Linked DNA regions of Drosophila melanogaster. Changing the gene in region 1 together with any one later gene gives a genetic interaction. Each region holds a gene or a part of one and is shown on either strand. Other genes may lie near its edges.

Evidence for each region.
Region 2: of in (region 1) and cmb, changing one enhances a phenotype caused by changing the other (phenotypic enhancement), as found in Drosophila melanogaster (one study listed by BioGRID).

Annotation. Positions count from the first base shown.
Region 1 is NT_037436.4:20,363,653-20,371,306, forward strand, and holds in (inturned), read left to right. Parts: upstream 1-3,545; 5' UTR 3,546-3,663; coding exon 3,664-6,273; 3' UTR 6,274-6,607; downstream 6,608-7,654. Other genes in the region: Toll-9, read right to left, coding at 1-473, 689-910, 1,014-1,244, 1,972-2,266; CG13247 (uncharacterized protein), read left to right, coding at 6,860-7,097, 7,158-7,631. UniProt on the Drosophila melanogaster protein: Plays a role in the definition of cell polarity via the planar cell polarity (PCP) cascade. Acts downstream of fuz and accumulates asymmetrically in wing cells to regulate planar polarity in the wing. Probably acts by regulating ciliogenesis.
Region 2 is NT_037436.4:13,439,478-13,449,411, forward strand, and holds cmb (combover), read left to right. Parts: upstream 1-3,116; 5' UTR 3,117-3,241; coding exon 3,242-3,511; intron 3,512-3,641; exon of another isoform or gene 3,642-3,822; coding exon 3,823-3,979; intron 3,980-4,211; coding exon 4,212-4,609; intron 4,610-4,735; coding exon 4,736-4,828; intron 4,829-4,890; coding exon 4,891-6,421; intron 6,422-6,531; coding exon of another isoform or gene 6,532-6,534; coding exon 6,535-6,803; intron 6,804-6,864; coding exon 6,865-7,406; coding exon of another isoform or gene 7,407-7,410; exon of another isoform or gene 7,411-7,484; intron 7,485-7,796; coding exon 7,797-8,907; intron 8,908-8,965; coding exon 8,966-9,568; 3' UTR 9,569-9,768; downstream 9,769-9,934. Other genes in the region: CG10140 (uncharacterized protein), read right to left, coding at 1-104, 167-603, 673-894, 949-958; CG14109 (uncharacterized protein), read left to right, coding at 1,749-1,802, 2,150-2,827; JMJD7 (jumonji domain containing 7), read right to left, coding at 9,832-9,934.

The DNA.
Region 1 (7,654 bases):
GCCCTCCAGAACCGTATTCTTGAAGATGGTACTGCTCACCATGGGAATGGCAGTGTAGCACAGACTGAGGAACTTCAGCTTATCCCCCAGATGGGCAAAAGCCACCGCACTATTCCTGGTCATTTTCGAGTGGGAGAGGTCCAGGTAAATCAGTTCCGGCAGATATTTGAACACGTTCTGCTGGATCTTCAGGCCGTATATCAGGCTTAAGGCCATTTCCAGAGTGGGCAACTGCAGTTGGTAGCTATAGGTCAGGAAGTTAGTGAAGGACAGGTCGAGATACTGCACTCCCTGGACGTAGTAGAAAGTGTCGTGGCTTATCGTCATGATCTTGTTGTCCGACATGAAGAGCCTCCGCAGATTGCTGACATTCCGGAACGCCTCCTTGCTCACGTACTCGATGCTGCAGTTGCTGATGTCCAGCTCCACAAGTCGGGGCATCTTTGGAAAAGTGGCCCAGGCTATAGATTGGGCTGGGAAACAGATAAGGAATTCACGTGTTAGAAGTATTTATGGCATGATATTTAAAAATTAAACCCTTCCTCCTTAAGTTACATAGTTAGAACCTTTTAACAGATATGAAACCAGGAATATGGAAATGACGGATATCAAGTTGTGATTAAATGTGGCATGAGGACTTTTAGGAAAACGTCTTTGCTGTGTAATTGTGTTTGCGTTGAGATCTTACATGAACTTCCGTGCTGATCGAACCGATCTTTTAAGACCTTAATAAAGTTCGTATAGTTTCTACCGGTTGTGATTGATTGTCCCATGTTTGTGTTGTTGTTAAAGTATAGATAGCATTCCCGATCATACAGATCGGTGGTATTGTGTAAAAGTAGTAGTTCACAATGGTGTGGTACCGAGTTACTAGCCTCCAAGCGGGACTCGTTTACAAATCGAGCAAAGTCTGAAACGGCGAATGGTAACTGGACATCAGAATACGTGTGCCATTGCGTTTCCGGTTCCCACAACTGACTAAATGGTCAATGATCTAACCCGGCCAAGCTTACCTTCAGCATCTGGAATCAGTTCAGCAAAGTTATTTCCTCGCAGCGATAAAAGCTTCAAGGATTCCCTCATGGAGTAGAGCGTCCTGAACGGAGCTGCAGTCAACGTATTGAATGCGGCCGAGAAGACTTCTGTCCTCCAAATGGTAACCTTCCTCGAAAGTTTCGCTTCTCGGAATAGGTCAGAGTCGTCCTTAAGATTACCGTGGGATAGATCCAAATACAATTTGTGCGCTTTAAATAAGTAATTAAAGGTACGATCAGAACCTATAAATTATAAGTGAATCTACCATATTCAAAAGTGACAGTATCGGATACTATGGGGATAAAGGCTAAGTTCAAAAAGTGCCGGGTGTAAACATTCGAAGAGATACAATTTATTATCGCTAAGATCCATATAGTTGCGAGTGGCTTTGCCAAATCCAGCCCAAGCTACTACACTCAGAGAAAAGACTGTTCTCAACGATCTTGATATGAGATTTTTGATCTTAAAATCTAGCAAGGATCAAATCATGCTCATATCGAGATCGAACCGTTCTCAGATTGCAAATGACTGGTCTCATTTGCCTCTCTCTCTCTCTCTCTCTCTTCCACAATTTTAAACCCGATACTGCTTCCGCCAAAAAATATCAACATTGAGATCGTTTTCGTCTCGAAATCAAGAAGGTTTCTTCTAATGAGCATGATTGATGCCACTGAGTACGCTGAACACAACCGATATCGGTATTTTTTTAAATTTCTCTGGGTGTAGTAATGCAGAGCTTTCACTGATAAGGGGTTCCATAATAATGTTACCGATTCTGGTGGGATTAGGCTAACATCAAAGACCTTCTATAAGCAGTCGATCCGCGTTGCCGGAAGCGTGAAAGTATATGTATATAGTTTCGAGAGCTGTTAACAATGCCCAATCAAACTGAGACTTGGGCAGGGATTTTTATTGGACTTTATTGGATAGGTTTACCGTATTTCTTTGTGCTGTCCCTGAGGGTTCCGTTGGGAAACTGCCACCATATCACCTCGTCCTTGATCAGATCCAGCAGACAACTGTTCCCATCATCCGATTCGTACTTCAACATGAGGGATTTGAGGTCCGTTCTCTCCTTGCTGACCTCTTCGGCCTCTTCGCTGGATGTTGTGGCTGAATCTGGTTCTATTATCAAGCCATCCTGGATCGAAAACTCGGTGTATGCTTCCCTTACGTTTCCAAGGAACAGGCATACTAATACGATCACATCCCATATATATTTTGGACACATATTCACTGAATTGCGCACCTATAGTGCTTGTAATGGGGGATTATAAATAAGATTTGACAGCTGTTTGATTTCACAATCACACAGATAATCGCGTTCTATACAATTTTTAGCCACTCATTCAGTTTCACTGGGTATTCCGAAATCTAAGCCACATTTTGTGATAGTTAACCGCGGCCGACATTTCCCGCAAATCACTTTATTTGCGGCTGGGCGAAGCACACGCCTTGGATTCGCGCAATGGACTGGCTGGAGGACTCAGCTTGCTCCGATGGTCAGCAGAAATAATAGGTAGCTGCGGTACACATGTGCGGCTAATTCTGCCATGATACGGCTTATCAATTTTGGCAATATCTTCCCTTGAATGGCCCGGGACTATCAGCGTATCGCTTTTTCGGTGGCACTGGGCGTCCCGCTTCACGCCCACGCCATGTTCCTTATCGGATAATTATCTGGACGTCGGAGTACGGCTATTAGGCCCGTACTTCAATGGGATCGGTGCTCCGGATCAACCGATATAGCCACGGCTCGCTTTTGGCCAGCACATAGTGAGTTCAGTGAGACACAATTTTCTATACTACTCGATTGTTTGCAGATAGAAAAGTTTTGATTTACGGCGTCCAGTCCGGAGACCGATATGAAAAAAATCACTTGGAAAATCTTAGATTATCAGACCATCGGCGATACGAAAAGGTGGCCACTAAAACACCCGGGTCCACAAATGCCCAATTAATTATATCAATTCCCTTCATATCATGCATACACAGTTTATTGGCCGTAAAATAATTTATTGGGAGATAGGACTTCAGCGGTAGTCTCCTATGACAAATGATCATCGGATACCCATTGAGGAAGCAACATTTTACTAATCTTCCGCTGATTAACACAATCCTTATGATAGCACACCAATTTTGCTTTAAGTTCCACCAAATCTTCAATGCGACTTTGTGCAGAGTCAGCATATCGCAGACGGAGCTCTATTTTTATAAGGATTTTCCATGATTATTATTTATAACTTAATATCACGCTGAAATCAACTGGTTAGCAGTCCAATCGTTAAATGCGAACACTTATAAAAAGAAAAGAAATTGGTTATTGTATTATGGTAACTATACTTGTCTTAACCCACGGTGGGTTTTGAGTTTCCCCAGCTTGAAAGAGAACCAGATCACAAAGGGAGTGGATCGTTTCCCGCTGGAATTTGAGTGGAGTGGTATTGAGCTGGTCGGAGCCAGAGCTCAATTAGAAACTGGTTTTGAGTGCTGAGATCGGATCTCGGCTTTCAGTCGACATTCAGAGCTGAGCTGAGGCGGTATCAACCGGCGGCAGATAGTTGAGTGTGTACCTGGAATAGTAGGCCACTAATAACTATCCGCCCAGTTAACTATCCCCGGTAAACTATGCGCAAATCGCCGGCCAGCCTGCCGTCGGAGGCCTTCTCCAGTTCGAACTCCTCGCTGAGCAACTCGTACAGCGATGGCAGCGACCTGGCCAACTGGGAGGAGTACGTGTCCACAGACGGCAGTCTCTTCTACATGGAGTATGTGCGATGTGAGAAGACTGGCGTCTCGGCAGAGCGGCGGGTGGAGTTCATGCGTCGATCGCTGCGCCTGGGAAAGAAGTCGTCGCGTCGCCAGCCGCACAGCAATAATCAGAATCAGAGTCAGAACCAAAACCAGTCCCACGGCCCGAGCAGGTTGGATAGCCAGACGGAGCCGCAAGAGTTCCGCTTCTCACAGTTCAAGACGGCTGCCCCCGATCCCAAGAAACTGGATCTGGTGATCACAGCCGCTGATCGCTTCCGTTTCGGACGACGATCCACGGCGGTGGAGTCCATACTGGGCTTCCGGGTCCTGCCCTTTCCGGACCAACCAGAATGCCTGATGGTCGATGGGTTCGTTCACGATGTGAGTGCGCTGCAGCACGGCATCAAGCGGGGAGATTGGTTTAGATCCCTGAATGGCATAGAGGTGTACGCCAGCAATGTGGATGAGTTGCTCAAGCAGTTCGTGGAGCCCACTCAGGTGTGCCTAGGCTTCCAGTCGTGCGGTGCGGCCAGTGCAGTTTCGCCCACCGATCCGGGGTATAATCGAAATGTCCGCGAGGAGCAGGTGTGCAAGGTGGAGAACTTTCCCATGTTCACGGAGAAGTTTGAGCAGATGTTGATAACGGAGGGGAACTTCGGTATTCCCGGTAGTTCCGTGGACATAAGAATGCCCTTTGCTATGCTGCTACTCCCACCGGAGTGCTATCAGCATGAACAGCAACAGGATTCCCTCTACTACTTTCCGGAAATCCCCGACAACTTCCTATTCAAGGCCCGTGGGAGTTTCCTCACCCTGCACGCCGTACTCAGTGAACTGCACACCCAGCCGCTGAGTTCAAGGCTGCTGGTGGATCAGGTGCAATACCACGTCAACTACCGCCAACTGAATGGGTTCCTAGTCCTCTTCGCCTACGCCGGAGGACTCTGCTGTGCGGCGGAGTGCAGCCTGCGATCGGATGAGCTAATCGGATACATACGCTTCTCTCTGCCGGGCTTGGTCCTGGAGAGCTTTAATCAGGAGAGAGAGCCGGGGAATAGTTCGAGACTGAAGCTGTTCCTTCGACACTTTTGCGAAATCCAGAGAACCCGGCTCGTAGCCAGATGCCATGGTCATATTCGTTTCGAGGAGCTCCTGGGCCAATCCCGCAGCCTGCCACTGCCAAAGGAAGCGCAGCTGCGCATCTTTGATGCTCTGAGTGAAATGGAGGCCATGGACTATCGCAACTGGAACGACGAGCCACTCACCACCCATCGCGAGTTCTTCATCTACGGCAGTGCGCTGTACTACGATGGCTTCCTGGTGGCCAGCCTGCTGCCACCGGAAGTGAGGGTGAGTGTAGAAGGATTCCTGCGCTGCCGCGGAATCTTCGAGTTGCTCGGAGCTGCTCCGGGAATCAAAGTTCGCGAGATGTACGTGTGGGAGGAGATAGTGTTGCCCAGTGCCACAGGGCGATATTTCCTTACCATCTGCACCAAGAACCACTTGAGTCTGGCCGTGATCTTGAAGATCTTCGATGCTCCAGACATGGCGCCGGATGCGGTGGTGGGTCCATCGCTCTTTTACATCGAGGAGATTCAAGAGACGCTGGACCACCTAGTACAGTGCGGCATTGAATCCCTGGCCATGTTCTGGTCCGTTTCCAATAAGAGACCCGAGGTGCTGGACGCCACTGCCAGCGAGAGTAGAGATCAGGAGAAGGAGCCGAACAACCGACTGGAGTCCTTCCTCAAGCAGAAGCTAACCGTGCTGAGTCCTTCGGTGGAGGAGGAAGCCCAACTGTGCTCGTCCCTGGGTGGGTCTTCCATACATAGTCTGACTCCCAGTGAGGACGAGTCCTGTCGCAGGCGATTGACCCCCATCCATGGTACTGCCGAGGACTCAGACAGCGGTTCCGACTGGGAGAACTTCGCCGTACAGCATCCACTTCACTATGGACTGAATCTCGGGGCCGAGAGCCACAGTCAGAGCCAAATGACAGAGTCCATGTGGAAGGAGATCAACAACGTGGTGCCGGTCAAGATATCCGCTGGCTGGAAGAATTCCGTTCTGCACTACGTCTACATTGACATAGCCAATGGGTCCTTGTTTGCGCCATTTACCGACAGCTCCGAGAACTCCAACTACCTCTCCGAGATTCGTCAGGCGTGTCACATAATCCACGCCGTGCTGCAGAAATCCAAGCACTATCGCAGGCATCTATCGGAATCCTCGAGAGCACAGACGAACTCGAACGGGCACAGTAGCCACACAGTGTCGCTGGTCAAGGAGCACGGCATGATCCTGGAGGTCAGCACGCAACCCAAGTCGGACGGGCAATCCCAATCCTCGACGAGCAGTCGCTTCGTGGTGGTTGGTCGTCTCTTTCAGTCGCCAGCCAAGGAAGTGTACGTGTGTCACCGGTCCGATGTTCCCCAGAACATAGTCGAAATGGCCTTCCGGTTGTCCTTCTTCTCAATGGGATGACATCTTGGAAGGATACTACCAACTTAGATACTGGCTATGCGTAGAATTCTTGCTATAATATAAACACAAATATTTAAAATGTGGTTTTAACTAAACAAATTACTTTTATATAGGCATTCAAACAATTTTTTAAAATTATATTTAAGAATGCATAATTAATCATTTTCAGCAATTCTATTACGAAAGCATTTGATTTAGGGGAAGTGCAATTTTGTATTTTCAAAATTCGAAAAGCGCAAGCTTGCCAAAACTCTAAGAAATTGAAAAATATGTACATTTCCTCTGAAACGCAGCGAATAAATATGTATGTATGAAGGTATTTCAAGAGGAACACAAACATCGTGCGAATGTGTTTCATTCATTCATAGTTCGTACTAGAGAAGCCATCAAAAGTGTACACTATTTTTAGAGTTTGGTGGGAGGGTCCCATTCTAAAAGTAGTTCCACGCACCAGAAGTCAAAAGACACGCCGACCAATAAATCCACGTGAACGAGTGGCTCAAGGTGGTGCTCCCCAAATTGCCAATTTCCCAAGATTCGTCGACAGTTGTGTTTGGGTGTTTCAACAGAAGAGGATTCTTGGTGGATGGATATGATGACAGCTACGTGGATGCTGTGTCTTGTTCTCTGCTCCACGGCGATGGCGACGGAGGAGGAATCGGGCAGTGGACTGTTCAACGTCACCGGGAATCCCTTGGATACAGAAGCTGCTCCAAAACTGCCCAGCGAAGTGCAGAAAGCTGTTTGCACTGTGACTGCGGGGGAGGTGAAGGCATCTGCCGAGGCTGTCACCACAAAAACCCTTAAGGGAGTGTGTGGATCAGGTGGGTGGTCAGTGGTCTCTTGCCCGTTTGATCTTGAAACTATTTATGCTTTGTGTGCAGATGAAATGAACATGGCCTTCCGAAGTCTGGAGAACAAGCTCTACGAAGAGCTTCGTGTAATGAAACTGATTTTGGTGCACTTAGCCAAGGCGAATGGACTTAAGCTCAATACAGCCTTTTCCCCATCTGTGACCACTCCACCTCCGACTATGAGGCCAATCACTAGCGCTGCGGTGCCGCCAATCTTCAAGCCAATTGATCCTCCCAAGAAGCTTTCCAATTCCACCAATTCGAAAGCCGAAGAGAACGAAGTTGCTCCAGACTTCGGACTTAAGAAGACTCCTACTCTGAAAAACTTGGATTCGAACGCAAATCTTGGAGCTCGTGAAAATGAAGTCGATAAGTTCAATAATACTGTACTGGCCGATCAGGATGTAAAGTTGTTCACTTACTATTGGAAGTTGGAGAACGTTACGGAACTTATCAAAGCACCTAAATTGGCCACTGTCAGTAGTCCGATATTCAGCTTTAAAGGTACATCAGTATTTGGTGTGGAT
Region 2 (9,934 bases), 6.9 Mb from region 1:
GACTCATGGACATAGAAATGGACCCCGGATGGGGGGCAGATTCCTACAGTAGTAACGGGTGAAAGTCGTGAAAGTTGCTGCACTTTTCTTTCCACTGCTGGGATCTAAAAAATAAAAGGGTTATGCAACTATTTCCCTTAGGAGTGTACTGTTGTTCTTAACCCACCTGACAGTCCGACTTAGATGGAATATCGCAGCAATCGCATTTGGTACTAAAGTGGAGGCCAGCAGTGCAGGTTTGCTCCCTGGGAATTCCGTTGCCGCAGATGAAGTACTTCTGGCAGGAAACCTTGCTGGGAACATAGCGCAAATGATACGCATTGGAGTAGATGGAGCACTCGGACTCCACGCAATCGACATTTTGGGGGAAATCACAGCGATCTGTGGCAGAGTTGTATTGAAGGCCATCCTGGCATTGCCGTAGAACGGGTTTTCCGTAGTAGCACAGCACGTACCTCGTACAGGTTCTCTGGTAACTGAAGGTGCTGAAATTGAAAGCCTCGCAGGTGGGCAGACAATCAGCGTCACCAGGATGTACACAGCTTTGGGTATTTGCATTGAACTCATAAGGCCATTCGCATTGCAGTTCTATGGCTTGTCCAGCTAAATATTATAAATAAACATATTATGATAAAGATTCCAAAATATAAAGATCTTAAGCTCCAAACTCACAGCGACAAAGGTAGTACCTATTACAGTCCCCCACAAATGGTAGAAACACATTATCTGCCACATTTCCGCAGATACTCAAGTTGCCCGTAATTAGACCATATTCCAGACCGGAAGTAGTTGAATCCGTTTCTAGGGTGCTATCTGTTGTTCCAGAAACGTCCAAGTCTTTGGGTCTTGCTCCAAAAACACCGCAAAATATGCAGATAAAGTACCATATTACTTCTGCAAAACAGAAAAATTATAATAGTTTTGTATTCCAACTTCTGAACCGCACACCTCCACTCATTGTCAGATTTTTATTCAACTGAATCTCTTCCCTTGTGAAAATGTACCTTTATAAGGTTCAAGCCTCAGATTATCTTATCACTATATCGATGTAAACATTGCAAACAACTGGCAAATGAATTGGTGGGAAAGGCGATGACTCTTGGAAGTCTAAATTTGGATCACCATATTCACAGCAGGTTCACCTAAATCATCATGCAATTGATGTACATTTACTTTAACACAGGGGTTTATATTTATAACTATATTTTTATGAATTAATTTAAATTTTTTTTTGAAAATGCTTCTGTTACAATTACAACGAAAAAATGTTTTAAGCATGTTTTCAATTTAATTGTTACCTTCCTTTTCTAAACATAAAAAAAGTTTCCTTTGTAGACTTTCATATTAATGTGGAAAAGCTTGTCGGCTGTTTCTAAAAACTCTACACGAACACGAAAACGATTCAAAATATTTTCGTTTTCGGCACATCGTTTCAGTTGAAATTTGGGCATCTCTTTGTGCGCACAGCTCATCGCTCGGAGGATTCGAATATACGATTAAAAGGTAGCATTTTCAAGTATAATATATGTGGTGTATTGTGGTGTACATTTTCATAAGTGCACTTGTTAGTTTTGTCTTCAAAAATGCCAAGATGACTGACACTATTCTAACTGAAAAATAATTTAACAAAGAGCCATTTATTTATAGACAGTGCCTTGCGATGGGCCTTTGTTTGTATTGAGAAAATAATCAACGTGCACGATATACATAACACCAAGTATTCCCTCTTCTCCTCAGGAACCCAGAAAATGGTCAACGAACTGAATAGGCCTCAAAATGGGGACAATGCCGCCTTGAGCGAGGTAAGCTGGAGTCTTCGGGAAATTGCAAAACTCTTAGTATTTAAGTGTTTTAAAACAATAAGAAAACACAGTCAGTAAAGTTAAATAAATACCGTGACACATTCTTTTTAGACAACAAAATGAATGAGTCACACCAATAAGCCTACAGTCTCTAGATGTTTCAGTTGAAATGAAATTTAAGTACGAAGCTTTTTCTATACCAGTGAGCTAAAAAATAGAGTTTTTTAATAATAATATACAAAATCATTTTTCTTTTGATGCCCTAATGTAGTCTTTGAACTATGATGTTTTTAAACCAATTTTTTCATTATTGAAGCTTTCAAAACTAATTATTTGTATTTTTTAAGCGCCTAGCTGCTTCCAACAGACAGCTGCAAGAGATGCAGGAGGAGCACCGCCAGTTGCTTGAGGAGATGGAGACACTGCGCTTACGAGCCGCTGAGCTGACCCTTCTGAATGCCCAGCGCCGACAAGTGCGGCAGTCCACCGAGGAGGAGGAGGTTCAGTCCCACGTTGAATCCTCATCGGAGACAGTAACAGTTGCTTCATCCGCCAGTGCTTCTGGAGAGTTCACAAACCGGGAAGAGGCACCATCTGGTGAGGAAGAGGGCGGGGAGGACAAAGAGGAGCAGGCCAGTTATCTGCAGGAGAAGCTAAACGAGATCGCCAACCTGAAGGCGCAGTTTAAGCGCGTGCAGAACATGGTGGACACCACCAAGATGATCGAGGAGCACATGTCCTCCAGGCAAACGGTACAGGTCCAGAGCTCCACCTCCGTTCAGACCAGCAGGCAGACCACCTCGTCAGAAGTCCGAGTGGCCAGCGAGGCCGTAGAGAGTGCCCAAGAAGAGAATCCATCGACCTCGTCGAGTGCTCCCGATAACGCCGAGCTCCTGAATTCCATGCTTAACATGTTCACGGACTTCACCAGTGATCTACGCGGTCAAGCGGTGGGACTCCGGGCGGAGAGGGATCGGATTCGTGCGCTCAAGGAGGACATCATCCAGCGCAAGCAGGGAAAGTAGGCACGTCCAAACTTGAAAGGGAAAATGGCTCTAGTCATATAATGTTTATTATCCAAGGAACATATTATAAAGTAATCTCCAAATAAATAATTATCCTTAAAAGATATCAAATTACCAAGTAACGTTAGTTTATCTACACCAAAAGCATTTAAAATACTTTTTACAGATATACATTTTATTTTAAACTAAAAATAATATTTATTTTTGAATTTTAGAAAACATTCGATTTCAAAAAACGTCCGCTGCCAGTGTGACCATAACTTGGTAGGCTTGTTAACTAGCTTCCAGCCCTGGTTGGGAACAGCTGTCAGAGTGCGCAAAGCAAAAAAACAAAGTGGGAGTACAAAAAAGAGGAGTTTTTTCAATTTTGTAGCGTCGTTTTTTGTACGCAAATATATATATATATATTTTCTAATGGCGCCGCCGCCCAAGGTAGTTGTGGACCAAGCCAACGCCAGCGCCCGCAGCAATGGCAGCAGCAACAACAACTCGGTGGGCGGGGCAACCGGTGCGGTGCCTAAACAACAAACGCCTGTAAACGGAGCACCCACGTCCGGGTCGAGTGCATCTGTGACATCCAGCCGGTCGGCCCGCTCTCGCCGGCAGCAGGAGCACCTGGGCGAACCGGACATGGAACTTGTCGAGCCAGAGACGCTGCAGCGGGAGACGCTGAAAACTCTGAATGTAAGTTAGACGGACGTCTGGTTGCCATGGCAAATCTTCTCGAAGAGAAGACACCAAGACCTTTCTCTTCTTGGTTTTATAAATACACTTTACACTCATCGCGACCTGCGGAAATTCGTTAGCCGCTGGCTCAGTAGCGAATGCGAACTCAACCACTGCGGACAACGAATTTCGATCGGCCAGAGCAGCGCCCTTATACATATATATATATATATCTGAAATAGATATATATATATAGACCTAAAATCAGCAAAATTACCGCAATCCTCGTGCTGGTTTTCCTGCTAATCTTCATTTACTGTTGCTTAAAGGATCTCCTCCAGCGAGCACGCATCACCAACGCCAAGAATCGATCGCCGGCGGAGCAGCATCTGTCTAGCAAGGATCACAGGTCGCCTGCACAACAGCAACAGCAGCGCGAGGCACTGCGTCAGTTGGCCGCCGAACACGGCAACTACGATACAGCAGGTAATGGGTCCTGAAACCGTTGAGGAATATACACATTTAATTGAGCAATTTCCAATATCCGCACCTGGCAAAGTGATCGGCCTGGCCCACACAGAGATCGGTGCGCCAGTTCATGTTCTATAAATAAGATGCGCACGAAAATAAACGCCCACTGAGATGATGTAGTTCGCAGCGCAGTATTTAGCAATGGACCTAAACATCCATACTGATCTTTGGCTATTTTCCATTACAGAGCAACTGCAGGAACAGCAGCAGCGCTATCGATTCCCCGTCCGTCCTGTCCAGAGGGTTCAGCACCAGCCATCCTCGTCAGCTAATAGCACAGGCGCCCCCTCATCTTCGACGGCTTTGCTGCGTTTGCGTCAATCGACGCCTCCGAATGCCACAGTAGGTGTGGTCATACCGAACGCAACTACCAGCAACGGAAACGGCAATTTGAGTGGCAACGAGGAGCAGGCACCGCCACTGACCCCCGCTGGACTGCAACAACTCGTTCACCGACTTCTTGGTGTACACCATTTTGCTCCCAGAACCGAAGGTTTTCGCTCGCAGGTTGACGTGTTACGCGCCCTGCTAGGATTAGACGAGAACCTGAATAGCAGATATCAACCGAGTAGGAAAGTTGTAGAGGTGAGTTTGAAAGCTTGTGTCAGGAACTTCAAGTGAGCCGTACATTTATAACATTTATAAGATTGATAATAACATTTTTTATATCGTAATAATAAATGAAACTAAATCCTTTAATTCTTGCCCCAGACGAACAACATGGTGCACGAAATCAACCCAAATTCGGATCAGGGTGAAGGCGTAGTCAATTCGACCAGCTTGGAGGATGTTGCATTAAGCGAGGTTAGTTGGTTAATAAAACCAAAAGTCTGCCTTCTAGTACTCAAACCATTTGTACCTTTCAGATGAGCGACAACCGCGCCCAATCCATTCAGTCCCTACACAGCGTCTTGGAAACGCCCACGCCCGATACCACGCCCAGCTTCGATGAGTTGCAGCAGCGCTTGGAAGCCTCCAATAGGAACATGCAGCACCTGCACGACGAACAGGCGAAGCTGTTACAAATCCAAAATTTGGCCAAGACTCACCTTAACGAGATGGAGCGGCTGCGCCAGCAAGCCGATAGCTTACCCCACAATGTCAATGGGGGAGAGGCCCCCAAATACGAGTCCGTGCAGCAGGTACAGGACGACATGGCGTCGCTGGTGGGGCGCATGAAGAATCTCACCGCCTTTATACACAACCAGAACGAACTGAGCACGGTGCTTGGCGATGATGGGCCCGAGATCCTGGCCGAGCAGGAAGCCCTGCAGGAGAAACTGGAATCACTGCGCACCCAACGTGAGGATATGCGCAATCTGGTGGACGAACTAAACAGCATCAACCGTGCGGCCAGGGAGACTGCTAGAGTCATCAAAGAGAAAGAGGAGACTCCCACGCCTCCTCCCAAGCCAGAGGAGGCTGCCCCAGCGGCTCCCAAGGAGCGTGTTGTTCCTGTGGAGTATCAGAGAAACGTACCCATCATACGCCAGGAGGCGGCCAACGCTGCTCAACGGGCACTTCACGCACAGGCAATGATCAACCAGAAGACGGCAGATATAGAAGCACTCAAGGCTCAGATGGCGAGACTAAAGGGAATGCTGTACACTGTTAGCCAGATTGAAGAAAGTACTCCCAGCATGGGCTCCACCTTAGAGCGGCGTAGTGAGGAAAGAACTAGCGTGGAGCGCGAATTGCCGGCCGAGATTGCCCAGCGCGTATTCGCTCTGAACGATGTTACGAGCGAACTGAGAGCGGAAGCAGCAAGCTTGCAAAAGGAGCGTGACCGTATCCTAGCCCTGAAGGCAGAGATTGAGCGACGCAAACAACAGGCGGCCGCCGCTGTTCAAATGGGCGATGATGCACTTAAAAGAAGCAGTCTTACCCCAACACCCACCCCCATGAGACAGCGGATGACCGAGGAAGAGGATCCATCCGAAGTGGATAATTCTCTTCAGGCTACGCCCACCAAGGAACAACTGCGCGATGAACTGCGCTCGCAGTGCGAGCGCCTGCGAACGGAATACGAGCAGAAGCAGCGGGAACTGGAGCAGCGTTACGTAGCCAGTAACAACACCACATCGGAGGCGGATGACGAGGCAAACGACGACACTGACAGCGATAAGTACTTCGCCAACGTACGTACCGCTTCCTCAGCGACCCTAAAGAGGGCTCCATCCGCCAACACAGTGGTGGAGCAACGACGAGGTCAGCAACCTAACGTTCCCCCACAGCAGGCACCACCACCACCGCCGCCTGCTCCTCCGTCGACGCTAAACGAAGATGACCTGAATGTGACACTTGATACGCTATCCCTGGGTAATGACAGCATACCATCCAGCAGCAATAGATCGCAGTACATGCCGCCCCCCATGCAACCAGTGCCTGGAATGTGGGGTACGTTTTTAATTCCACCAACAAAGGCGGAAATTTACCAACTTTACTTTACCAACTTGAATTCATGTATTAGTTTCCTCGTTTTACGCTTATTTTTATGCATCCGCTAGCAGCATCACACAACTCTGGAAGTTCGTGGCATGGACAGCAGCCCGTCTACGGTCAGCCGAGCTCCAGTGCCGGCACAGAGTTTAAAAAGCTGCCAGCCGCCCAACAAGGGGGCTCCTCAAATGGATCCGGATCGAATGCCTCTACCGACGCAGTTCTGCTGCAGCAGTTCATGCAGACGCAGCAAATGCTTATCAACTCTGTGTGCCAGTGCAACCAGGCACTGTGGCATCAACAGCGCGAAATCGACAACCTCAACCACCAGCTACATGCGGTAAGACAATCCATGAGATTAGAGAGCCTAATCAAAGACTAATTCAAGTGTTTTTTCACAGCTCCAGGATCGATTTAATGTTGTAGCATGCCAGGATCACAGCTTCGGCTTGCGCTCGGAATCAGTACCGCCTCCGGTGGGCCCTGGAATGGGTCAGATGCCCAACAATCTGTGCCTGGGCAGCAGTCGAGCTCAATCTGAGCAGCTATTTAACTTTGGTGCCCACCAGAGCGCCTTTAGTAACTATCAGCGCAGCTGTCATCGTAGCGGGGCAGAATCGCATCATCATCAACAGCAGCAGCATCAGGCGCAGCCGTTCCTTAACAATGCTGCTCCCCCGCCACCGCCGACGCACTTCAACAACGAGACACCCCTGTCGCCGCCTACTTACCGCTCAAGTCCAGGTCCCATCTTCATGAACCACCATAACAACACGATACATCAGAACAACTCGAATCTGCGAACCCAGAACCAGCATGCCAACAATCTGCACTCGCTGCCCGAGGGAGCAGCTGGTGGAGGAGCACCTGGTGGCGGTATTACATTGAACAATCAAGTACCACCCGGAAACAGAGCCAACAACTACTGGGACAACTTCCGCAGGTAATGCTTTATAACTTTGGTGTTGGATTTATTAATGGTTGTTTGATGGAAAAGGGTCAAAAGCAATAAAAATTAAATAAAACTATTGTGAAGAGTTAATTTTCAATTCTGTGCACCGGTAAGTGCGACCACGCGTTGCAGATAAGTGTCCCATTAACAGAGTTGAAAGTGACTAACCAAGACTAACTCCAAGTACTGACCAAGTTTTGCAAGTGCCTATTCGGCAGTAAACAAAGCTAATTTATAAAAGATGTGTATTCAATTTAAAAAGGATATATGGAATAGAAAAACTTAACTTAGTAACGCTCACTAGATTTAGCTAGTTTATCAACTGCATGATTCTTTGCTACCCGCTTGCATTAACCCATTAATATCTGTACGCTCTTCCAGCCATTCGCGCCAAAATCTCTTATCAAATAAAAGCAACGAGGAGCTGAACGTGGACCTCCAGCAGTATCGGCGACAACGGGCACGTCCCAGCTACTTTCAGCCGCCCCAGTTGCTTCCGCCTACTACGCGTGGTGGTTTGACCCACCAGCAGCAGCGTCGTCACTTTTTCGAGGCGCCACTAACCGCTTTGCATGGCAGCAGCTCCAATGGCAGCAATAATCTCAACAACAGCGGCAGTTCGGGCAGAAAAAGGGACTGGCGCGATGATGCAGGCCACATTCGCGACCACGACGATGAGGATGTGGACGAGGTGGAGGAGAACCATGATAACGTCATATTCGGCTCGGGTCGACGTCGCAATCGTCGCCGTCCTCAGCTTTCCACGCTGCGGGATGATGAGTCCGAGCAGGCTAGCTCCTCCAATCTCAACATGAACGTAAACTATGGCAACAGTCCGCTGTATCAGCGGAACAAGGTACCAGCAAAGCCCACCACTTCGACTGTGTCGCTTACTCCTCTGCAGCAGCGACATCTTCGTTTCGACTTCGAACTTCCAGCTCACTACATGGACTACATCGAGCTACCCCAGATTACTCCAGTGGACACTACTCCTACGCTCGGACAAGAAGCATCGCCCGCGGACGAATCAAATGCCATGGAGCAAACCGAGGAAACGGCCTCCGAGGAACTGAATCGAAATCTGCTGGTTAACGCTCTGAAGAACGACAAGTTCACCACAAAGTTTTATGAATCAATCAAGGAGGATGTCTACCGCCGGCTGGAGACACTCTTCGAGCAGCAGCAGCAGCAGCAGCAACAACAACAGCAACAAAATCAGCAGCTGCAGCACTCACATGAACCACACGGCTTGCGAAAGGCTCTTAACCAGGAGGAGAACGAACCTACTGGCGACGCCGAGGCCACCGAGAGTCGCAGTGAAACCCCGCTAGAGGTAATGCGTCTGCAGCTAGACAACGATCGGCCCGAGGACGAAAAAGGAACGCCAGTGAAGCAGCTAAGTTTGTCCAATCCACAGAACGGGCAGCACCTGGATGAAATGGAGGACAGTGCTTCTGCTGTTATCTCTTCTCTTAGGACCGAGAACGAAGAGGTAAGAAAGGCTTTCGTAAACTGGATCGATTAACTCATAATTGCGTCTTCCTTACCAGCAAATCCTCGAGGGAAAACTAGAACAAGCCTCTGGCTCGGGATCAGGACCAGGGACCAGCATAGAACTGGCACCGGATCACGAACTAATCGAGTACATTATCAAACGCATTCGCAATCAGACGCACAACAACACCGTCATCAATGACTCCCTACTGGCAGAGGTATCAAAGCTGACGGCCACTGCTGCCCAGAATTCGACCGCCAGCTCGCCACTAATTTCGCCCAAACGCATATATGCCAAGATCAAGAAGATGGACATACCACGACAGCGGGACGAGTTCCTGCTTTGGTACCGTTCTTATTTGGAGCAGCTGTTTGTGGTGGAACAGCCGCAGGATAGCTGCAAGACCAAGTCGAAGGTGACACCTTCTGGAGCCAGTCCGGCCAAGCTGAAGAACCAGCGTGTGCGCAAACAGTCCCAATCCCAGTCGCAGGACTCGAATAACGATGCAGACTTGGCCGAGGCGGACCAAAAGAACGTCTCCTCCGCGGGAAATGGCGAACTGGAGTGCGAGAACAACGAAAATCCCGACGAGGAGGCAGATGGACAGGCTGCAGCGGAGCCTTCCGGCGCAGAAAAACAGGACGTCAGTCTCGAATAGACTAGAGAATAACCCAACAAAGCAAACATTCCTTATTTAAGAAGTCATCATCTGTACGGATATTTCATATTTCATTTACGAATTTCGGAAAAGATAAATCTTTTATGGTCGTGTCCTTAGTCGTAGTTCGCAACTCATTTTGGGTATCAGTTTTTTATTTAACACTAAATTATGTAACAATAATATATATAAATACACTGAAAACAAGAAGGGTTTTGAATTCACCTAACAATCCCTGAGAATAAATACTTCTCCGGATTCTATTAGCCACTCCTTGCGGACGTCATCTGCTCCAGCATGCGGTAGTAGCAGTACCGGCTATCGTAGTCCAGATCGTACCAGAAGTTCACGGCGATGCACTTGTGG